Linked DNA regions of Drosophila melanogaster. Changing the gene in region 4 together with the main gene of any one other region gives a genetic interaction. Each region holds a gene or a part of one and is shown on either strand. Other genes may lie near its edges. The genes, in order: Dark, pnut, Dronc and grim.

The links.
Region 1: of grim (region 4) and Dark, changing one suppresses a phenotype caused by changing the other (phenotypic suppression), as found in Drosophila melanogaster (2 studies listed by BioGRID).
Region 2: of grim (region 4) and pnut, changing one suppresses a phenotype caused by changing the other (phenotypic suppression), as found in Drosophila melanogaster (one study listed by BioGRID).
Region 3: of grim (region 4) and Dronc, changing one suppresses a phenotype caused by changing the other (phenotypic suppression), as found in Drosophila melanogaster (4 studies listed by BioGRID).

The regions. Positions count from the first base shown.
Region 1 is NT_033778.4:17,017,713-17,026,214, reverse strand, and holds the start of Dark (Death-associated APAF1-related killer), read right to left. Parts: upstream 6,189-8,502; 5' UTR 5,974-6,188; intron 4,826-5,973; 5' UTR 4,815-4,825; coding exon 4,425-4,814; intron 4,304-4,424; coding exon 3,666-4,303; intron 3,613-3,665; coding exon 3,489-3,612; intron 3,426-3,488; coding exon 3,235-3,425; intron 3,131-3,234; coding exon 2,886-3,130; coding exon of another isoform or gene 2,878-2,885; exon of another isoform or gene 2,827-2,877; coding exon 2,637-2,826; intron 2,564-2,636; exon of another isoform or gene 2,518-2,563; coding exon 924-2,517; intron 863-923; exon of another isoform or gene 857-862; coding exon 737-856; exon of another isoform or gene 682-736; coding exon 535-681; exon of another isoform or gene 471-534; coding exon 1-470. Other genes in the region: Paip1 (Poly(A) binding protein interacting protein 1), read left to right, coding at 7,307-8,152, 8,416-8,502.
Region 2 is NT_033778.4:8,235,405-8,241,315, reverse strand, and holds pnut (peanut), read right to left. Parts: upstream 4,046-5,911; 5' UTR 3,260-4,045; coding exon 1,640-3,259; 3' UTR 1,019-1,639; downstream 1-1,018. UniProt on the Drosophila melanogaster protein: Involved in cytokinesis and possibly cellularization. Also acts as an enhancer of the sina gene, thus having a role in photoreceptor development. May be involved in p53-dependent apoptosis.
Region 3 is NT_037436.4:9,966,615-9,971,876, reverse strand, and holds Dronc (death regulator Nedd2-like caspase), read right to left. Parts: upstream 3,399-5,262; 5' UTR 2,990-3,398; coding exon 2,543-2,989; intron 2,034-2,542; coding exon 1,128-2,033; 3' UTR 875-1,127; downstream 1-874. Other genes in the region: CG6674 (uncharacterized protein), read left to right, coding at 1-213, 275-667; CG6685 (uncharacterized protein), read left to right, coding at 3,583-3,772, 3,836-4,043, 4,097-4,190, 4,256-4,405. UniProt on the Drosophila melanogaster protein: Involved in the activation cascade of caspases responsible for apoptosis execution. Effector of steroid-mediated apoptosis during insect metamorphosis. Overexpression promotes programmed cell death.
Region 4 is NT_037436.4:18,301,731-18,306,257, forward strand, and holds grim (grim), read right to left. Parts: upstream 2,688-4,527; 5' UTR 2,370-2,687; coding exon 1,953-2,369; 3' UTR 989-1,952; downstream 1-988. UniProt on the Drosophila melanogaster protein: Activator of apoptosis, independent of rpr and hid, that acts on the effector Dredd.

The DNA.
Region 1 (8,502 bases), on a different chromosome or scaffold from region 4:
TGCAGATGGTAGTAGACACCCTCGTCATCTATGGCATAAAAGTGGGAGAAGTGGGCGTCTGTGAAGAACTGACGAGCTTCATTTCCCACAAATTTAACGCAGGCCAGGAGTTCCGGACGGATGGCATTGCCGCGCTTATTCCGCCACAGTTCCGCAGTCCCTCGGTTCACCGGATGAAACTCGTCGGCAACGAATGTCACATCTACATCGATGTCCGCTGCAATGGGCGCCGCATCCACAGCATCCTCTTGTGTAACACTGTGCTGCTTATGGCGTCGACTGCGCCGCCGTTTTTGCTCGCGCTCCAATTGATTGTTGCGCATGTGCGTCACATTCCAGAAGCACAGCTGCTCCGCGCAGCTGATCAGGAGCAACTTACATGGCGAGAATAGCAATTGCCGGATGCAGTGCTCGTGGACCTCTTCAATGCTGTAGATCAGTTGAACTTTTCTGTTTTCAACGGCAAAGAGCTGTTGGGAAATGTATAATTAGCAGGAAATAATTATGAAACGAATTTGTAAGACGTATGTATACCTCTAAAGTGCCATTTTCGAAACCCATAGCCAACATGGTACCATCATCCGTGGCTACCAAATAGCTGATCTTGGCCTTCTGGGCGATCTCTTCTTCGCAAATCTGTTCGTACCTTAGTTGGTTACAGCTGAATATTAAACGGAATACCTGTCGTTGGAAATAATTGATAATTGTTTAATGATATTATGTTTAGCAAACCCACATCGATGATGTTGTTTTCGTAGGCCAGAAAGAGAAGACTGTTCTTTAGATCAAAGCCGACAATGTATTCCTCCGAATCCTTTGGTTTCACGAATGCAGATGGGTTAGCTATATCCAGATGCTGTTGGTAAATATTGAAATCAAATACTGCACTTTTACTCGCATAAACTTCAATTAAGAACACTCACACAGACTCCGTGGTCGGAAAACAAAATGATATACTGTCCTTCCTGCAAGGACGCGTACTTGGTACTAACATCCATCATCAATGGCCACTGGTCATTGGGTTGCAGCGGATCTATCTTTTCCAGCTGGAATATCACAGTCTTCTGGGCACTGTGTGCCGACGCCACCAGAATGTTGGGACTGACCTGTTTGAGGTAATCAATGGGCTCCTCTATAAACTGCTGAGGTAGCGCTGTATCATGAATAACATCTATTATCACTCCGTCCACATAGCCAACGAAAATCTGTTCGTCGTTAAAGGCGGATATGGCATTTATCTTACAGTTACTGGCAGCATGAGTGGGTGTGATTGTGGACCATTCGGAAATTCTAGAAATGGCCGGTTTAATTAGGTGAATGCGCTCCTTGGAGTCCACAGCCAGAAGTTGCGTCCGCTCTCTGGTCATGTCCATCAGAGAACGCAGATAGACATTAGGCTCCAAGCAAGCCTTTGTCATCACGCTTATCTCATCTGCACTGTGAACCCAGGCGATTTCCCTGTTTTGATGTGAATTCGAGCCGCTTACAGAGCGCAATGTGTGCACATGGACCACCTGTTTTCCCTTAGCGCCGCACAAAACAATGTACTTATAGACAGGATCAAACAGCTCGTATATATCCACACACTCTATATGTTCGCTGACATTGCTGCGTAGCACGGGATCAGAGATTTTCAGATCATACACAATAAGTCCCTCGGACGTGCCCAGCAGTAGGTAACGTCCGTCAGTCGAACGCTTTCCGCAGGTGATGAAACTTCCTTCTGGCAGTTGCACTGCCTCCGATTGCAAACTAACCGAAAGACCTGGCAAAAAATTGAGCCGCCATACGCTGTACTTAAAAATCAGCAACACGGTGGCGGTCTTACTCCTTTCGTCAAATACATCTAAGGCCAACGGCGTGTCGTTTTCGACATTAAAAACATGTAGTTCCAGCGTATTGCTGGAACCGTTGGTCAAATCCCATACAGTAAGTGTGCAATTTGAGGTGCAGACCACGTAATATCGCTTTAAAACCTGAACGAAACACCGTATTCCCGACTGCATCGTTTTCAAAACAGGCACGTGCGACAGTTTGAACTCCTGATCTTGTTCGTCCCAATTCAAAATACTCACATCACCATTGATGAATGCCACATGCAGTTGGATGTTGGCCTCTGGCAATCCGGCGTCTTCATTTAAATAGAAAGCAACAATTTTCAGATTTGCATAGCTCCCTATAAAGCGTTTAACCACGCTATTGACTAGCTGCTGCTTGCTACCACCACTGTGGCGCCTTCCTGGACAATCGGGCCACAGGGACCAAAGTTTTACGCTGCCGTTGCAGTGCAAGGTGATCAAGTGCTTCTGTTGGTTAAATACCGCCATACGCAGAATGTCACTGCTGTCGCTCTCGTCCCTTAGCAAATAGGTGTCCTCTCCCTCCAGCGAAACATCGGTTAGCAGGATCTGCCCGCTGGCCAGCGCTATCAAGCAAAAGTCGTTGTGAAGGTAGACAGCATGGCGCCCCTCATTATCACCCAGGTTTATAATCTGACGGTGCTGGTGGAAACGACCGCTGATAAAAGGAAAAAGTGAAATAATAATAATAAAGTAACTTTAATATATATACATTTCATTATTACTAAAAATGACAGCTCTGTTTGTTTGATTAGTCAATAGCTGGTAAGTACTTACTGGTTAGTAAACCAAACCCGATCGTCAAAGCGCTGCACTTGTTTATGGGCTTCTTCAAAAATCGCCTCATCCTCGGCCATCAGGGCAATCCTAAGCAGGTCCGTATACTTTGAACAAATAAGATTTTCCTCAATCTTTGGCAAAAAATCCAGAATAGCGTTGACTAAGCGCTCATACTTTGGGTCATTGTCTGCATGAAAAAAAGATTACATTTTTTTTTTGTTTCAAATGATTCAGAAATTTACGTACCGCAAATATATGGCTTGTAGAACTTCAGCTGCTGTAGCGTGTTCAAGATCGATCCACTGGCATTCCAAGCAGTTGAATCGTGCCGAATCTTTTGTTCTAGAAAACGGAAATCTAAAAAGACCATGCGAAAGAGAGTCATCCGTTCGGGGTGCTCAATGTTTTTTAGATGATGACCGATGTGGCTATAGAAGTATTGGTCCAGGTAAGGCGGTATCAAGTCGTCGGAATCGAATGTTTTTGGGATACTAACAAAAAGGTTAAAATCACTCAGTATACGGCTTACTCGTGGCTTAAGGTTAATACATTTTAGCAAAAATTCAAGATATCAAGAAAAGGGCTAGGAACATACTTATAGTGATCTACGATACTCCGATGAAGTGCATATTCGTTTTCAAGCTTGACTTTCAACTCCAAGTATATGCTGGGTATACTTATGGTTGACTCTTTTGGTTGCTTCTCCACCAATGAATATTTATGAAGTTTGTTAACCACTACCATTACATCGGATTTGATAACATCAAACCATATCAACGATAGGAGCTGTTCAACAGGAAGTTGATAACGATTAGTAGATGTATGCCGTAAAGTGCAGTGCTCACTTACAATAGTGGGTATGTGGGCTGATGGAGGGAAAACTGACAGTCTATCAAACATTTTTCTATATTCAGCGGGCTCCAGAACGTTTAGAGAGCTCTCAATGATGGTCGTCAGCTTATCACAGTTTACACTACAAAAAAAAATTATGTATTTATTCAGTGTGAACACTCATAATCCACATACTGTTTCCAGTTGTCCCAGGTCGCCAGACCATCCCGAATGCTCTCAGCAATAATGCTTAGTCTGCGGGGATTCGTTGTCAAAACTTCCCGGGGCAAATCCTGTGGTCGACAGTCGAGGTACTTTAGAAGCAAAGACTTAACCTCATCCGGCGTAAGCGTCATCGAATGATGATCCAATGAAATATGAGTTGTGGTAGCTGCCGAAAGAAAGTCAGTGACCTGCTTGAACCGTGTGGTTAGCAATATCTTGCAGCTCAAGTTGAAAGCATTCCAAGCCTTGGCATTTTGCACATTAAGCAGAACAAGGAGACAATTCTCGTATGGCTTGCTCTTGAGCAGTCGTCGCAGTTCCGCCTGAATGCTGTGGATTCGAAGCTTTATGTTACTGCTATGATCGCTACGACTTGTCCAGTTGGGATCGATCTGGTAAAGTAATTTCTGCAGCATCTCTAGCACGGTCTCCGGGCTATTGCAGTTCTTCAAGTTAAGCCAGAAGATCTTAAAGTCCATCTTGCATTGCACTTTGTACGATAGGCACACATCCAAGGCTACCCAAGTCTTTCCCGATCCCAAGACGCCATCAATCAATACATTTTTCGCTGGGCGAAGTTCTAGAAGAGCCTGCCTTAGCTTCAGATACTGAAATATAAAAAGTATTGTAGTATGGTTAGATAACAATTCCACAGAGTAAAATTGTTTTTCGGTTTCGTACGTTGGACTTCTTTGATTGTTTTTTTTTTCGAATGGGAGATTATCATACCGGTTGCAGGCGGCTCACATTGTACTTGGCGAATACTTGGTTGTCGTTGTACAGACGATCTCTCTGCTCGATGTACATCCTGGTCATCATGCTGGGCTGCCGTTGCTCAGTCTTGATTGGCGACATTAAGAATTTGTAGTTGATCCTGAGAACTTCCTCCACAAATTTCTGGACCATTTCCTCCTGTTTAGAGAGCAGTGTCCAAAACAAGCGAAGTGTGCCGCTGACTGCATCCTTAGACATGATGATGTGGTCAATTTCCTCCTTGGACAATATTGATTTCGGCATATCCTGGACATCCTTGCAGTCGAAGTTGTCGACGAATGCATCCTCAAACACGGACAAAATGTCCTTGTATTGGTATTGGTGCTCCCCAGTTTCAAAATCCATATTCGTGTTACCTACATATGTAAATATTTATATAGTAACTAAATTTTATAGCTATGTTAGAAATAATTTATTGGCATTGGGTTATTTTTTGTGGTATTTTCATTAATTACAAAAGAAAATGTTATAGTCGAGTTTTCCGGCTATTAGATACCCGTTACTCTGCTGGAAATTTTTATCTCATAGAAATTCGAAAACAAAATAAATAGAAATAAAAATTAAAACGGTTCAAAAGTGTGGCCGTGACAGTTTTGAGCAGTTTGTGGGCGTTAGGGTAGGCGTGGCAACATGGGTGAATAAACTTGGGCTGCGTCTGTATCTCTAGAATCTGTATTCTTAATATCAACCTTCTAGCTTTTATTGTTCCTAAGCTCTCCACGTTCACACTAACGCAACCAGATCGAGTGTTCTAATAATAAAGCTGAATCAAATCCGAATCCCTGTCTTCTCCTTGGTCGGGCAATCACACAAATCATAAATTTGGTTGGACCAACCAATAAAAACTCAGGTGCAACTCTTAGCGAACAGAATCAAGAAAATCGAAAAAAACAAATCAAAACAAAAAAATGTTCATTTCAAATGCACATATGTATGCATGTATATGTGTACATACATATGGCGGAATTTTTGGCGCCAAGCTTGGCCCACTTTATTTGAATGCACCGTAGACGGCTTCTCGAGGAGAGAAATGCGATACCATGGATCTATGAGATCCCTTATCTGCAAGCTGAGATCGACTGGATCATCGGTAATTTCACAACTAATCGACAAGGACGCGAACGAGATCGCCTCTAAATAGCTAGGAATACGTGAGCTGGCGGTGCAACCATCGAAAAAGGCAATTCCGGTTGCATTTTTGTTCTCCTCCGCTCGTCAATGTCGTAGAACCAAAATCGGATCGAATTATTAATCACCAGTTAGATAAGCGCGTAAAGGCAGAGAGAAGATACGTCACTGAGTTTGCCGTGTGAATGAACTTGTTATGTTTGTGTGTAAGTGCTCTCGCATGCAATTGTTTCAGTCACACACACAGTGCCTTGGATTTGTGATTGACGGGGAGGCACAAGGCCCAATGGAAGAATTAAACAAATGGACTTGTAGAGCACAGAAAACGAAAGCACTACAGGTACATAAGCTTTCACCTGCACGCATATTTACTTACGCTCGCCGTTTATTTTTAACAAATCGTCGTCCTTATTCGTATTTTGTTGTATGTGTAAGTATTGCACTTTATCCTTAATATATAGTTGCTCCGGCTTGTTCACATTGTTCTAGCACATTCTAAGCGAAACACTAAAGGCTTGAAAAAATATAAATAATGTACTAATCTATGCTACTCATTGAGTAGTACTCAAAAAATAACAAAACGGAATTTATTCGACTGTGTGACCGTTTTACGCGAGGGAAATAATATCGAATTATATATAGGGTTGTCAAGTGGTTCAAAAATGATTTTAATCGTAATCTGAATTGTAATTCGATATTATATTGCGTGATTTAAGATATTGAGAATTTGTATATTCTTAATAAGAAATACAATTTACATTACGATTAAATTAATTTTTGAACCGACAACAAATAATATATAATAATAAATTCTTATTTATATATTAAGAATTTCTTATTATATTTTAATATATATTATTTGTTATTAGTTATTAATTTGTTATATATATGCCACCTTATATATATATGCCAAATATATATCTCTTTTCCAACTAGATCTAAGATTATAATAATACCATGATTTTCTTGTACGAAATGAAGTAGTTTATCTAATGCTTATTTTCTAAAAAACGGTTTAGCACTTATTACTTTATTTAAAGTGTGACCATATTGAGCCGTATCGATATATCACAGACAACAAAGGTATTCACTGCCAGGTAAGTTTTCACTAGCCACTTGCGACCACACCGACGGTGAAAAGGCGAAATAATAAATTTTAACAAATTGCCGCAGTGTAAATTAAAGGTGCGTAGCATTTTACATTCCCTTTCAGCGGTCACCGGCCGTCCCGCCCCCGCACCGTCCAATTTAACATTTTTTACGGCCAGTAAAACGTGCAATCCCACCCAAAATCAGACACGAAATTCGGAGCAGCGCATCAGAGACGCAGACGAGAAAGTGACGACGCAGCAAAACGAAGCAACAAAAACGAAAATCGGCGACGTACACATTCAACTTGAACAAATTTAAGGTAGGCATTGCAATTTCCCCACCACCACACGGTAGAGTCGGATAGGTCGTGTCCATTTCAATGGGAAACACCGACTGACCCGGCTGCGGAAAATAAAGAGATAAAAAAAGAAAGGCGACAAACCAGTGGTAGGAAAACAAAATGTCCGCAACTCTGTCTGAATCGGCGTCCCGAGGCTTGCAAACGTAACCACGCTGGGGAATGCCCTGGCGAATGTGATTTGTCTTTATTTAGATAAACTAATCCTCATCCATTACTTTACTCTGATTGGTGATTTGCAGTTTTCGAGTCCAACGCAATGTCATGCCGCGCCCCCTTCCAGCCCGACGATCAGTATGAGCAGCTGCGCCGGCCGAATGTCGGCGGAGCAGGCGGAGTGGCCATGCCGGGACTGGATCAGCAGGCGCATCTCTTTGGGGAGTACGCCGGAGCGCAGGCGTACGGTCAGGTGGTTGGCAATTTTCCTGTGCAGGCCATGCAACCCCAGGCGCAGACTCTGTCCGATGCGTCCAATCTGTCGGCCACGGCCACAATTTTCATCCCTCGAGGAGCTGCTCCCCCGCAGCAGCAGTCGCGACATCAGCAATACCAGCAGGCTGGTGGAGCCGGTGGAGGAGCTCCTTATGGCCAACAGCAGCCGCGCTATGTGAATGGTTTTAAGCATCACCATCAGCAGCACCACCAGCAGCCGCACTACAACCATCATCACAATCATCAGCAGAAGTTCAACAACGATATGCAGAAGCTAACGAATTCCGTGCAGAATCGCCTGCACCTGAATAGCCAGCAGGGCTCAGCCGGCAACTACTATCAGCAGCAGCAGGTACACCAAAACACACACCACCACCAACAACACCAGCAGCAGCATCAGCCACACAACCAACACGCCAAGTTTCAACGGCACTTCCACTTGAATAACTCATTCCAACAAATCGTACAGCAAACACAGCACAACCAGCCGCAGCAGCCGCACCACCAGCAGCACAACCAACAGCAGCAGCAGTATATTCAGAACCAGAATCAACAACCGCAGCCATCCACTTCGACTGCGGCGGCCTCCTCGTCGTCCTCGAACTCTTCGCAGCCGGACATGGCCACCATAGCACTGGAGTATCTTGATACAGTCATACATTGCCTTAACCAGGTGAGAATTTCGATTGATAAGCTATCAGGGCAATTATGGGCTTCCTTTGATTTATATTTTTAGTGTTTTATGATTATTTAATCAATTTTAATAGGTGTCAGCTTAATATTTTCTTTAAATATAACAATATATTTAAAATCAATATATTTATGCTCGAAAGTAAAAAAAAAAATCAGCTGAAACATTTCAGTCTAGTCAAACTTAATCTTAAGTTTTAAACCTAAATTTCCTACTAACCAGACATATTAATGATCTCCATCCAGAATCCGGGCCAATTTGATTCGATTGCATCACGCTTCCTGACCATTTTCGATGGCATGGAGAACAACCAATTCGTGCTCTCCATCGCC
Region 2 (5,911 bases), on a different chromosome or scaffold from region 4:
ATTGCCACCCCTCCTGCAACCCACCACCCACCGACGCTCTACCCACTCTCGCTCCATATTTCTTGTACGTCTTTCACCAATGGATTTTCATTTTACGCTTTATACGGCTCTAATTGAGTGCCTTCCAATTGGGTTATGGATTAATTTTTGTGCATAAATTAAATATCCATGCACACATGTCTCTCAATAAAGCTGGTGTCTGGGGCATTTAGAAAGCAATTTCAAGTGGGGAGAACCAGCAAAAATGCAGTAATTTCATGTGGAAACAATATCGGCCAAGAAACTAGTAGTTAGTCTTGATAACATCTGGTTAGCTATCAGACAAACGAGATCATGTACTTCCTAGAAGAAATGGTATTGCGATATGACTAAACTGATCCAATATTTATGTACATACATATGTACATCACGCAAGTCAGCTTATCTTATCTGATATTATCTTGATTTTTGCAAAATAAAGCTCATTGCTACCAACTGCGATGAATATCTATTATTCTGACCTAAATTGTGGCCGCATAAGGCGAAAGATTGTATATGTACATGTACTGACTTATAGGGAGTGTCAGGCTTTTCGTAATTGCTTGAGTCGCACATATGGGCAAGAACTGCATAAAGGGTATTTCTTAGGAAACGAAAAGCATGATACTTTTAGGTGGCACCAACGGTTCGCGTTAGTTTTCACTGGTCCAATAAGCATCACACATACATACATACATACATAGCAGTGTGAGAGGTAAACACTTTTAATTGTTTGCGGCGAGTGATTTACCTATCCGCTTGACTCGAGCCACGTTCCCAGTCAATGCTCCTGCGGAATGACTCATCCATTAGCTCATGGTTAACTAAGATATTGAGAATGTAATCGTCATATCCAAATCGCCATATCCATCGTCATGCCTATCATACCCAGACGTGTGCCAAGCGGACCCGTTCCGCTGCAGTTGAGTAAACAACGAATTTAATATGGAATGCTTTTCAGCTTTTATGTAGTTAAACTAAGGAGAAGACTTTATTTTATAAAATGCAAGAGTATATTTTGTTTCTTGATGTTTTCTGCTGCGCTTGCGGCTTTTGCCTTGCTGGTGTGTGTTCGGGTGTTCAATGACTTTATGCATAATAGGTAAAATACAATTACAATATCAATAGCATACGTTATACATGGATTCGTTATTCGTTATAATTAATTTTAGGATCAATTTCGCCTCGCACTCGTACATTCTGCTTAGTTTTTATTATGATTAGGCTTTAAGATACTTAAGTATTTTGCAAATACCGTTTGTTACTGTCTCGATTTAATTCGTTTGCGTGTTCAATTCATTAGGCTAGCAAATGTGTTTCGTCAAGTAATGCGTGGATATATATTGGTAAAATACTGCAACTGCTATGTGTTATATGTACTTGTATAGTATGTAGAAAACAAATGCAACGCCGTCGCTGGACGATTGCTGTGCGAATAGAAGCCTTGTGGGGCGGCTGGGCCCAACAATAGATATATTTATGCACTTTTCGAATTACTTTATGTGGTAGGAATAAGAGTAGGATACGCTAGGGTTTTCATTTGCTTTGTTCTCGAGATTAGCGCTTAAGTATACGAGGAGCGGAAGGGGGTTTGGGGAATGGGGGTTTTGAGCGTGTTGACTTAGAACAGACCCTTCTTTTTCTTCTCCTTCTTGCCATCCACATTGTCCGTGCTGCTGTTGGCCCCCAGGCTGCGTCGCTTGAGCTCCTCGAGCGTCACGTGGTTGACATCCTCCCACTCCTTCTTCTCGCGCTCGAACTCGCGTCTCTTCTCCTCCAGCTCCCGGATCTGCAGCTCCAGCGCCTTCTTGCGCTCCTCGTGGCGCCGCGCCAGCTCCAGCTCCGAGTCCCTGAGCTTCTGCATCTTCTCCTTGACCTTCATGTCAAACACCTGCTCCATCTCGGCCTCCATCTTCTTCATCTTCTGCTCGTGCTCCCGCTTTTCCTCCTCCATCTGGGTGAGTGGGTTCTTGTTGGACAGCCTGGCCTTGCCGTCCACCAATCCCAGCTCGGATAGCTTCCGGCAGCGGTAGTTCTCGTAGTGGACGTTGTTCGTCACGTCCTTGAGGTCCTGAAGGTGCGTGCGTATGACCATGTTGCGCAGCGCTATAAAGTCGCAATGCGTCAGGTTCTCCACCTCCACCAGGCCCCAGGGATAACGCCTACCCCGGACCTTCTTTCCGTCCTGCTCGATGATGGTGTTGGCACCCACCACCGCGAATGGCACTCGGCTGCGCAAATTCTGCGTGGTTTTGGCCTCCTCGGCCGCATCCTCCAGCGTGGCGGGGAAGTCGTAGATCTTGATCTTGTGCTGGGCGATCTCGTTAAGGATCTGCTTCTTAAATAGATGCACCTCGTCGGGCGTCATGGTGTCCGCCTTGGCGATCACCGGCACCAGATTTACCTTGTCCGACAGGCTCTGCATGCAGGCAATGTCCAGCGGCAGGAGTCCGTGTCCCGATGGCGCTATGAAGTAGAGGCAGCAGTGCACCCGGCTGTCCGAAATGGTTTTTCGGTACACCCGCGACTCGGCTGTCAGGTACTCCTCGTACTTGCTATCCACGTACTCCAGTATGGGCACCCAGCAGTTGCTGTTGTCAACGGCATCACCGAATCCGGGTGTGTCCACCACCGTGAGTGTCAGATTGACGCCGTTCTCCTTGAGCATTACTTTGGTGGCCTCCACGGCCACGGTCTTCTTTTTGCGCAGCGAGGGGCCCGGATACTGTTCCGCGTTGTAGATGTCCGACAGGAACATGGAGTTGATCAGCGTCGACTTGCCCAGCCCACTGGCGCCCACCACCATCAGAGTGAACTCGAATCCCCGCTTGACGGCCTTGCGATAGACCTGATTGGGCAGGTTGGCGAAGCCCACATAGCCGGCGATCTCCATGGGCTTCTGGCGCACCGGGAGCGGTGGCTTCTGTGGCTTCTGCGCCTGCTGGTGCTCCTTCTCCTGCAGATCGTGGGTCAGTTTGTTCGAGTCGCCGTTGGAGGCGCCTCCGCCGCTGGTGTCCAGCTTGCCACTGGCGGCCACTGGCACACTGGGCGGCTGATTGGGCGGTCGTCCACCGACGCCCACCAAGGACTCGCTGCCGCTGCTGCCGTTCGTGGCAGAGGACGCCGATGCCGACGCAGCCTGCTGCTTGTCGCGCAGAGCCAGTTGGGCCAGAGTGCTGGGCAGAGCGGAGATGGCGCCGCCGCTGCCGCCATTAACCGCGTTCGAGCGAGGACTATTCATTGGAATAGCGCCAAATTCGCCTTTGAGCCTTCGATATTCGTTCGCAGGTGGGCTTCACTGTATTTATTCACTTTGCTTGCACAGAACCGTTGCTTTTTCACCGCTTTTGTCACGCCTACGCCAGCTCTTTTACGCTCTTACTTTTCTTGCATTTTCTGTGTCAGTAGGACCGTGCGCTGCAACGCGATAAATACTTCTGCTCCGCTCTCGCAGGCAACAACAACGCCCCAGCTCAGGCGCAGTGTGACCCTGGAAAATACCGGACGAGAGCCGCGAATATACCAAACGACGCTTGGAGTGAGAGCGCATGAGTAATGCGACACATACACACAGAGATACACGCACCCATACTGCCGCAGCAATGCACATGCAAACGGGCAAAGAGAACTATTTTCTGGTGGCCTTATCACTTGAAATGGAATGTTATGTTTAAAAATAGGCAATGAAACGCATTCATGTGTCCCAGCACTTGGGATTCCAGATTTCTGGCCTGAATGACTGCACTGGAGTGGCCACGGATCGCATTACAATCGCCCGCTGATGCACAGGAAGAAATTATCCGTCTAGATGACTTTGACTTTTGCCTTAAGCAGGGGTGGATTACTGAGGGGTTTTTTGACTACATATCGAACTATATTTATTTTAAAACATTTTCAGTTTATGTTTGTCCATTTTTATAGGGAATTAATTTCTATGGTACACCATAACGGGTTTTTAAATAAAATTGTTCACTACGCCCATGACTTTTGTGGTTACGGGTTCCCTTTAATTTTTGTTGCAATGTTGCGCATGCCCGTGAGAGCAGCAGAAGGAGCAGAGAAAGAAGAAGAGGAAGCTGAGCTTATCTCTCTCGCTGAGAACTAAAGATGCTTCTGTCGCGTGGGTGTTGTTATTGTGACGCTGAGAACTCGACTTTCGCTTCTCTCTCACACTTGCTATAATTCCATTCGACTCTGTTTGGAAAGAGGTTAGTGAGCTAACTAACGCCCCTTGTGGGCGTGTGAGAAGTGCCATAAAAAGGAGCTGGATAATAACTGGCCTCTGTCGTTTGACCCGCTTCATGCTCGAGTGTCCTCGTCGAAAGTTCCCACACACGCCTCGTCCTGGCACCCTCTCTACCCCACCCTCTACGCGTCATCGCATGCCGATGCATACACGCACACGGACAAAGCCCGTTGATTGTGCGCTCTGCGTTTCGGTTTGTTTGTAATTTAAATTCTCATGCACTTCTGGCGATCGTCACTGGTAGAGGGGGAGGGGGAGAGGGAGGTACTAACCACCACCATTAAGAGGGTCCTGCGTCCTACTCCGCCTGCTTGGTGGTGGTGGTTTCCTTCCTTCCTACCATCCAGCCTTCCTTGCTTCCGAACTTCCCCCTTTTGCACGTGGATTTCCACCAAACGCCGTCTGCGCGACAACAAGGTGATCGTGAGAAAGTTTTTTTCTCACATTATTCCAAAGCGACTCCTGTTTTAATTTTAGCCTCTATCGGAATTAATATGCATTTATGAATTGATATGACTCGCGGTGGCTCGATTTTTACCCTAGGGGATGACTGTACTTATTGGAGGATTTACAGTTGTTGTCGTCAAGGGAAAAGGTAAATCGAGGGAAGTTCTGTGGAATTTTGTGGCTAGAGATCCCCTTGTTTCTTGTTATTCTTACTAATTTGATTGTCGATTGCATTTTATGATCTCAATACATATTTTTTGTTCTAAAAAGTTATTTAATGAATTCTTTTTCATTCTTTATCAAACTTTATTTTAAGCTTTATTAATACATTTAACATTTATGACCATCCGAAACCATTTGATTAACCCAAAATATAAGGAGAAAGTCGATTTTATTCATTAAGTCTATTTATATGTATATTTACTTTAGCTTCCTTAAACTAATTTTATATTGCTTTTTTGGGTGCATCTTTAACGATTAAAAACATACGCGTATGTACTTTCGTACTTTTTTATAGCACTACTTTTTTATAGCACTAAAAAGTTGATTTTCTATTATCGTATTCATCAATGCTAAATACATTTCATTTTTGGCTGGGGGCTTCGAAACTAGATGTTTTTTACGACAGATGTTAGGTCTTGAAATGTGCCACCGCAACTGCAACCGCAAATCTTTACAGCGAACAAATCCCACCTAATCTCCCCGCAACCCTTCCTCGTGTTCATAGTTTTGAGATCTTGAGCAGCTGTTTCGCATCAGGCACACTCCATACGAAATCCATTCGGAGACGCATCTTCTTCAATATTATGTAAGATGCTTGCCAGCAATTAGGGCCCGCTAGAAGCCAGAGGAAAACCCGTGCGCCCCTGAAAAGTCACTATTTCTTAGCGCCGACCATTGTCCGGGCCAAGTCCATTGTTCTCGTGGCTCGAAGAAGTGGCGGGGGATGCAGCCGGGAGAATGGAGTCGGCAGCTGTGCCAATTCTTGGCACGAGAGCAAGGACAGTTTAGTGCAAATGTTGGCTTAGGAGCAGCTGATCCACCAAGTGACCGTTACATCAGCTGGCATGGGTCACCAATCAATGGAATCAATGATATGGATTCGACCCAGCCCATCATGTGTGCTAGTTATTTAGGGTACGCCCAATAAATGTGAAAGTGTTCCTGAAGTCCAATAGCATATGGAATAGATATCAGCTT
Region 3 (5,262 bases), 8.3 Mb from region 4:
AAGGCGTTTTCCATCAATGCCCTCGATCGAGGAAACAAATCCGGAAACGAATCCGGACAGGTGATGAACTACCGCCAGGGTCGCAGCATTGTTACTGGCCTCGATGCGGAGGATGGAAGACTGCGACGAATGCGCGGCAAGGAGAGCATTTTCAAGAAGCCCGAACTCCCCATTGGACGCTGTTTGAAGCCAAGAAAAACGCCAGATTACCAGGTGACAGACCATCCCTCTGCAATTAGTTGTCCCCACCCTAAACGTTTGACCTACTCTCTAGGTAAACCCGCACAAATGGAAGAAGTACTCCCTGTCTGATGTGGACATTTCCGAACAGAGCAACTCCGCCGCCGCCTTGTCCTTCCTGCGACAAATGGATGCACAGCGCGAGGCTGAGGGCGTCGATAACGAATCTCCACCTACAGATGGCAAGATCGAGTTCAAGAGGACCAGCAAACTCAGCCGCAAGCTCAAGAGCCTCAAACAGCAGGAGGTGGATGATGTGGAGCTGGATAAGCCGCAGTTAAGAGGTTCCAAGCTGGTGATGCCTGAGTATGTAATTGGCCAAAAGCCGCATAAGCCAAAGAAATGCAAAACCAAATCGGAACAGAGCCGTGCAGCGGGAAAACTACAACTGTCCCACTTGGCGGAGGAGGATGAGCAGGATGATTAGGTTAAAATGTATGATCCTAAGATTATATTATATAATAATTAGTGTCCCAATGAAATTTTAGAAATGTAAATAGATTTTAATTATATACAAACTGCGGTTTGTTGTGAAATATCATCGTTTATTTTGTAAGTGTACACACTCAAAAATCAGACTGGAAAATTGCTTTACATTTTGCCTAAATGTTCGATTTCAAAAATCTGGCTGTGTATATACTGGAACTCTGTATTATAATATTTGTAGATTTCTGGCAGTTATCACATAAATTACATAATTTCGTACCTTTAAATGAGGTATGCAATACGTATTAGAAGAATACTTGAATGAGTATTTGTTACAATATAAACATTTTATAGCACGCGAGCACAGAACACATAATCTAAAAGACATACTAAATGCGACGATAAGAACATAAATGCGGTTAAAAATGCATCCGGAATGATAAAATGTCCAGTGGCGGCAACTATTCGTTGAAAAACCCGGGATTGAAGTAGAGTTTCTTATTAAAGCCAAGATTATCATAGGCACCTGTCTGCATGGAACCCTTCTTGGTGCGCTTATTACCCACGGCTTCGCTCGTCTTCTTTAGGATATCCTCAAGGTCTGTGTCGTGGGCATGATCGGCCATCACTTGGCAAAACTTCTGGATGTACCAGCTGCCCGTGTCGAGATCGCGGTGGGTAACATAGCCCGGCGTATTAGCATAGCAGACCAGAGTGTCGGCAAGACTTGGCACATTGGTGCTCGGGCTGGGTATGCCCTCCGTCTGGGTGTCAGGCCACTTCTCCTCTTGCGCCGTATACACTGGCTCCATGAGATTGCCTTGATTCTTTGGATGGCCCAAATCATATTCATCGCCGCGGCAAAAGGGAAACATAAGCACCTTCGGCTTGTTCACCAAATAAGGACATTTGGCCGTCTGGAAATGGTCCTTGATCTTCTGCATATCGACCACAGATCCATCGCAAAACTCCACCTTCTCTTTTCCCTCCACACTGTTGCCGTGTGTCATCAGTACCATTACGAAACACTCGGTATTCTGCACATACGACGAGGAGGTCACCATTGTCAGAAGTTTAAAGAACTGATCCTGATTCACGTTCCCATAGGGGAAAATCGTAAAATTCAGTTCTTGAAACAAGTGTATCAACGACTTGCTGTCCTTTTCGGCTCCGATCCGTCGACGGTTTTGATCCGGATAGTCCATTATGTTAACCATTAGCAAAACGCCTCGGTTGAAACGTGATTGCATCTTATATGTGCCCAATATGGCACTATCCCCACCATGTATCTTTTTCGATTTTTTTACCTCGGGACCGTCAACGACACCCACATAAGGGGTGAGTGCTCCCAGCGGCTCATTCCGGAGCTTTGGTAGGAGAGAGAAAGAAAGAACAAATTACAATAAAGATAAGATTTTCAATATATATATTATATTTTCATTGCACGGTTAATGTGGCAGACAAAGAAGTAATCAACATTCGTGCTATATAAACACAGCTGCCAGCAATATTGCGATAAGATTCTGGTTAAAAACAAATCCTACTAAAAGAATAATTGGGATAGGTAAGTAGAATGGATGTGATTCATGCTTCCAAAAAAAATGGAAAACAAGAATCTCATACACGAACTAACTTCTGAAAGAGAAGCAAATAATACTGTGCACATGTACCAAAGTAGTATTCATCATTGAGTCCATTTACAATTCTTAAAGATACCTTTTCTAATCTCATTCCAATAGGAATAACTCAATTAACAAACCTAAAAAAAAAAATGCAAATAAATTGTGCCATAAACCGGTTTTTTGTAGAAATCAGGGTCAATGACCTGAGCTGCAATTTCACCATCAAAGCTTTCGTATGATTTTATTTTCATTACCTTGCTAACGCAGGGTCCTTCGGAGGCTTCGGGTGAGGGTGTGTCCACAATATCGGCCGACTTCCGGCTGGTTCTCCGTTCGTTTAGCGAGATAAAGGGTGGCCTTGAATCGGACTCATCGACGGATTCCAATAGAACGGCCGCATCCAGACAATTGATATTGCGCAGTGCATTGATCAGCAGGTTATAGGCGGTGGGACCACGCTGGGTGATCTTCAATAGGAGCCTACGATGCTGCTCCACACGCACATCCTTCTCGTCCATGTTGAATGGCTTGCCATTGAGATCCTGCGTATTTCTTAGCATCTGAACGGTTAGGATGCCCTGTTGCACGCACTCCATGGCCAGACGCTCGTAGTTCGTCCATTCAACCAGTATATTCAGATTCTTGCGTATATGCTCGCGATGCCTCTTCGGCATTCCAATCTCGAGCTCCGGCGGCTGCATTCCGGATATGGCTTCCACGCGTTCCGGTGACTCCGCTTATTGGGCGCGCCAAGGATGGCTGCCGTGATCAGTCTCCAATTGGCAGTGGTATTGGCAGTGAATCACCCGTCTCCAAGGTTTTCCCGGGAATGATTTCGTTTATCGCTACTTGTCGATTCTTTGTCTCCGCTTTGTTGTTGTCGTCGTTGTTTTTGTTTTGCGACTTTCAAGAAAGGGGCACAAATCGGCGGCCCTGCTGGTGTCCTTATTTTTCCAAAAGTAAATTAACTAGTCTATATATTGCACTAGATGATCCTAGCAAGGATCGGGGATCTTCGAATAGGATTTCTTTCGAAACAAAAGGACCAACGAGCGTTTCGCGCCGCCAAACTCGCCACTAAACTAATAAATGAAACTTTGGGATTGGTGTGGCTGCTTGTGGGTGCGCCATTTTAACCAGAGAACGCGTCCGGGATAAATCCATGACATGAACCGTCTCCATGTTCCACTTATTCCACCATTCCTTCATTGCCGCATCAAATGATTCAATTTAATACTAAATACCAAATACCATATGGGGTCAGCCTAACAAACCGTAAACATAAACAAAAGAAATGGAGGAGGAGCAACAATTTACGCCGGAACCGAAAAACTCCGCGCAAAAAGGCGCAGAAAAGCCTGCAAGGATTCCGAGAGAGGTGAAAGTTAAGCTGCAAAGGCAACTAAACAGACTGGGCTACTCACAGCAAATCCTGCTCGAAGCAGCCAAGCAGCAAAATCAAAATAATTCGAATGGCATTCTCCGTGAGTTTTCTTAAAACATGCATAATGCAATAAAAGTACATTGTCCCCCAATCCCTTTTCTAGAGTATGTGGCCGACATGATTGGCAAGGGCGAGGAAATGGTGAAAAACTGCGACTCCGTTAGCTTAAACAACATTAACCAGTGGCTGGAGCTCATGAAAAGTTCGCAACTCGCTGAACTCTGCGAATTCGAAGCAGCCGTCGTTGTGAACTCCATAATCCAAAATGAGACAAAGCCATCGCCAACGGAACTGAACGGCATTGACTTGAAGTAGGAATGGTTTTGATAAACTACATTTGTATTTAGCATTGTGGTACTTTCAGTGAGGCCTACAAGTTTCTGGAAAACGCTTTGATGGGCCAGCCGCAAAAGAAGATGAGCGATGCGACCAAAGAATTTTTGTCCAAGGAAATTGAGGTGAGCAGAAGGCTGCATCAACTTTCCAAAATAGTTAAAAAAAAAGGAAATCCTAATGCCAACAGCTGCTCATAGAGAAGGCAAACACCGACGAATCCGACGATGTGGCACGCAGCATGGGGCAGCGTTTATTTGACCACCAGTTTTTGGATTACATGGAACAGCGGCAAAAGTGCAGTTTGGATCCACTATTCCTGGACGAGAAGCTAACGTAGAGGCTGTTATTGAGTAATTGAGGAATTTAGCACACAGAGCATTTATTCATTTCCACACATTTATTAAACATTTAAATTCAATTGTTTGTTACATACGTACATTGTCACACGCATTTGCACCGCTCCATTATCATCAATCAAATCATCGGATCCCACGTTTATACATTATTAGTATTACTATGCCAAATGCCCCAACCTTTGTACGTATTAATATTTGATAATTACACTCTTAATTAAGTACTTGACTATAAACAGTTTTAGCACATTTAAAATCTAGAATTCCTTTAGTTGTACACAATTACTTCGAGTAGTGTAAGAAAAAGTTGTGGGTCTTTGGCCTTTGGATTCTCTCAATTGCATAACATTTATTGTGCATGATTGTTTTCAATTGTTGGGGCTGCCAATTAGCATTGCATAGACTAGTGTAGAGATAGGTAGTTTAGTTTTAGGTTTTGCTACGATTAGCTTTGTTTTAAACTTTAAGAGGCATAAAAACAGTTGAGTGCTGCTTGACTCCCATAGCATCACAATAGAATCACAAGAGACAGAGTTGGCTTCATTTCAATTCAATTCATTAGAGGATCTAGGATGGTACACTTACGATAACATAACGTACATACGATCAGAATTACATACAAATTCGAATACAAATATAATACCCTTTTGTTTTAGGCGCAGTTACTAGCACTAAAACGATCTTCACACAATCAAATGCAATTCAATAATGTACATAATATAACTCTTAAATGTTCAGTCCAGTTTGAGCTTTTGGTTTTCCCCTTTTTCTTTGATTTAGATTTTGTTTTTAATTTTTTCATTTTTAAATTTTTTTTTTTGTTTCTTGTGTTTAGGTTTCT
Region 4 (4,527 bases):
TTGAGTGGAAAACGAACCCGAATGAAAACTTGATCCAGGACACGCGACTGACACTATGCGAGCATTTGCATACCCTATAATTTCCCCCTTGCTTATCATCGCCAAAAATCAAGCCACACGCGAAAAAAAAGGATAGCGAAGGACCCTAATTTCCAGGTCGCTTATTGTCATGTCACGACAATTAAACAATTTCTTGTGCGCTGGTTCCAGTGCGCTTTTGAGCGATTTAAATTAAGATAGGCGGCAAATTAGCGGCCCGAAATGTTTGCATAATTATTATTTGACTGGCGAACTTATCAGGCGCCGCTGATCGCTTGCTGCCACAGATGTTACACTTTTTCCACTTCTGGGGTTAAATGGGTTTCCGGGCTTGCTAAAGGGTACACCCCCTTTGCCCTTTTCCTCTTTTTCCCTTTGACCCCGAGCCCGATGACTTGGACATTGGTGGCACAAACTGGGATCTGCGGTTAAGCGTCACCTTTGCTTTTTAACCCTTTTGGGTGGAGTGTGCCTGGCATGACACGACGGGAAAATTCTCTGTCTGCCCTTAACCAAAAATGTGTTTTCCCTTTTAAGGTGACATATTGGTTTTGACGATAGCGATCGCTAAATGTTTGCTTACTCCGCCTTTTCCTGGCAGGACGGTTATCCTTTGCCATTTCATTGCCCAAAATGGAATACAAAGGCTTAATTCATAAGCGGTTATTAAAAGAGTGTATTAAACAAAATTTCATATTATTTTGACGTATTTTTTTATAAAAACTTTGGTGAAACAAATAAATATTCTTTTGAATTTATTTTAAAAACGTTTTAGTTTATTTTTAAAATATTTTAAAAACGCTTCGAATAATTTTTCAAAAACATTTTAATAGAGTTCTACACCTCCGAAATAAAAGGTAATTAAATATATATATCTCGGCAATGGTGTTGGTAAAATTCTTTATGTTTTTCTGAAAAGGGACAATAATAATCGTTCAAAGTATTTTTTAATTTTTTATAAAATTGTATTTATTTTTTGCTTGTTTGTCTTATAAAAATTTTAATTTCTTACAAATGCTATCTTTACATGTGATTAATTTCAATATTTCTTGTTTAATTTGCAATGCCAAAATTAAAATAATATGTTTTGAATTTTGCTAAAATCAATAATAATGATAAGATACATTTCAAATTTTGTTATTCTTGATTATTCGTATCAAAATTGCTTAAATGTTTGTTGTTGTTTTGTTTAATTTTTGTTAAAATGTATTCTGTTCGGCGGTTCTTGTATTCTATTTTTTGTAGACGTTTTGTATTTTCTCTCTTTGTTGTAAACATATAAAATTTGCTGTTTGCTTAAAATCTATTTTGTACAATTGAGTTGTTGTCTTTTGTTATTCTTGTTGCTGCGGTTGCATCTTTGTTTTGTTGTTGGTTCTGTATTGTAGTTCTGTAATATTAGTTTACGATTTATATTTGTAAGTAGTTGAAATGTAGTTGAAGTAGTTGAAGTAGAAAATTTGACAATTATTTGTTAGTTGAGTACGATACTTGTGGTTTTGCTCATACGTATAGACACTAATAAGGTTTATGACAATTTTACACATTTCTCTTTATGCTCTCTAAATGTTGTTAAGTATGTTTATGTATTTGAACCAACCGGGAAACCTTTGCTTGCAAAATTAAACATTTTTTCAAAACTTATATCGGAAAATTTGACATCCAAAAAAGTAACAAACAACCAAAATCACTTTAAGCAAGTCGATGACAAATTTTGAATTTTCTCTCTCTCAAAAATAGTTTAAAAATAGTTTTCTTATTTTGTTGTGGAAATATCCCATGTTTTACAAAACTCGTTCCTCCTCATGTGTCCATACCCAAAAAAGAAATCACAATGCGCTTTGATTGAGCCTGCCTTTCCCAGAAAATCCCAAAGATTTTCTCTCCACCAGGATGAAATATGGAAACCAAATTTAGTTCTCCTTGGAGGTGGCATCAGTCACGTCGTCCTCATCGTTGTTCTGACCGCCGCTGCTGATCTCGAAGGATATCTGAATGACCGTCGGTTGACGCTGGCTCGAACTGTAGCTGTAGATTCGCAGAGCGTAGCAGAAGATCTGGGCCAAAAGATCCCAGCATCCAAACTCCGACATGGTCATCGATCCCTGTTGACTTCCCAGCGGCACGGAAATATTGGCACGGAATTGTGGGCGCTGTTGCTGATGATGATGTCGCTGCTGCTGCTGCTGTTGTTGCGATTGTTGCTGCTGCTGCGATGGTGCAGCAGCTGTTGCAGTTGTCCTTGGACTCGCTGCTGTCTGCTGGCCGTTTTGCTGATAGCTTCTGGCCAACAATTGGGCCTGGTCGGGTATGAAATAGGCGATGGCCATGGCGGTATTTAATTTAATACAAAATGTGATTTTACAAAACGTATGAATCTTTAAAAAAATATATAACTTTAGTGTAGCATATATTTTTAATGTTTGATTTCAATATCGCTGAGGAATAATATATTCCATTCACTGCTTGCACTTTAAGTCTTGTAAGTCTTTATGTTTCGTATCGAGCACTTGGAAAATTTTTCTGACTCATTTGGCGGGAAAACGAACGAGGAAACTTGTCGCTTTTTGACGAACTTTCAACTGCGCTTTTCGCTTCCGCTTGTTATTCAATGTTCTCTCGTCGAGGTTTCAGAGTGGACTGACTGTAAATATCCTTGCTGCAGTCACATTTATAAAATAGCTCTCTTTGTACTTTCCTATAGGAAGCGAGTTCCTCTCTCGCAGTGAATGTCACCCTCCCAATTTCCACCACCCCCCGGGAGTTTGTGTGTATTGTGTGTGTGCTTTGTTTATGCCAACAACCAACCAATTGAACCACCAACCACAGGAACCCACACCACTGACAATGTGCCACCACCACCGCCAGTTTACCACCCCAAAGACACGGCTGCCTTTGTTACCTTTACTTCGGAACTAGAAAGGGGGTGGGAAAGTGGCTGAGAAGCGGTGAGAGACTCGGGAAATGAGAGCGGAATTGGGGAAAATCATTTCACGTAAGAGTGCTACGTCAAATAAAACGTAAGCTCTTTGGGATTTCGTTGTTCGAAGCGCGGCATCGAATTCATTTCGAATTTCAGGGGTTAACTTGGGCGTACTTGCTCTAGCTGAGTCTAGCAATTTTGAGGGGAAGTTTGGTCGTCGTATGCTCATTTCGAATTTCGAACTTGGATTTCACTACGGATGAATCAACAATTGTTTGTTATGACATTTTGGTTCGCATAGAAACTGATTTTTGGTGATTAAATGCAATTTAATCTTGCTTATTGTACCTATTATTAGTATAATTATTATTTTCAATATTCATTAATGGCAAACAAATTTATACCAGGGACCAACGAGATCTTTTCTTACATTGTATCACTTTGGGTTATTTATAGTATACTTCTTTACATACTTAATATATTTCAAAACAGCGGAGTCTCCTTCACCTAAAATCTCTTGGAACCACTAACCCGCTTTCAAGTTAAGCATCCTTCAACTCAAAAAGCTTGCACGGCAAATCTTTGATGCGAAAACCTTGCGTAATGGTCCTTGAAGATTCCCCCTATTGCAGCCTTAAACTTGACCATAACAAAGGGCACCCAAATGGATTGACCTTCAAGCTAACGCGAATCCAGCTCCCTCAAACATTATGCTGACGACAATTTCAACCTTGGAAAATGTTTGATCCCAGCTCCCCCATTTTCCGTTAGCTGCAGCTCATCCATTATGATAAGCTGTTCCCGGATAGTTGCAAAGTCAAGAAAGCAGTGGCTGTGGTAGAGGGGTATGAAGAAAGTATACTTATGCAAAACTGATTATAAGAAAAATTGAGAATAATTTTTGGGTATAATTTCATGAAAAAATAAATTTTATCAATAATGTAAATTTATTGAATTTGTTTTATATAATTTATTTACAATCATGATGAATTAAAATCTTACATATGGAATAAATCATAATAACGATTTTTTTTAATTAGACAAGTATATTGTATTATCTCCTCCTCTGTCCCAAATGTTCAATAAATGTCATTTAACACTTTAACATTCCAGAAAAGGACTTCCAGGGAGCGGAAAGCATAAAGCCAATTGAGCTTATTTCCTCCCCCTATGTAACATTTTTGCTGAGGGAGCTCCAACAAGGCCATCGCCAAGGCCAAGTCCGCCACTTGTGGGTGATGTTCCACAAGTCTCCTACCGGCAAAAGCTTTTTATTTCTCACCCAACTGGCTTCAAGGTCGTGCCGGCCGGCATTTCCACCCACATTCAGCTTTTCCTCTTCATTTTTGTGCGTGCGACCTTGACAATGAAATTCGTTTAGGGAGCACAGCTCCTCCAAAGAAAGTGTGGGTGAGCTTTTCCTGACACAGTTGACAGCACGTGGTCGTTATATTCTGGCATATATATAAATGTCAAGCTCAAGGTCGCTGGGTATCGATTTGCCGAACTTGGAGGGTCTGTATTACTTACCATAAAAGTTATGGGTTGGGGGTAACTTTGCTTAT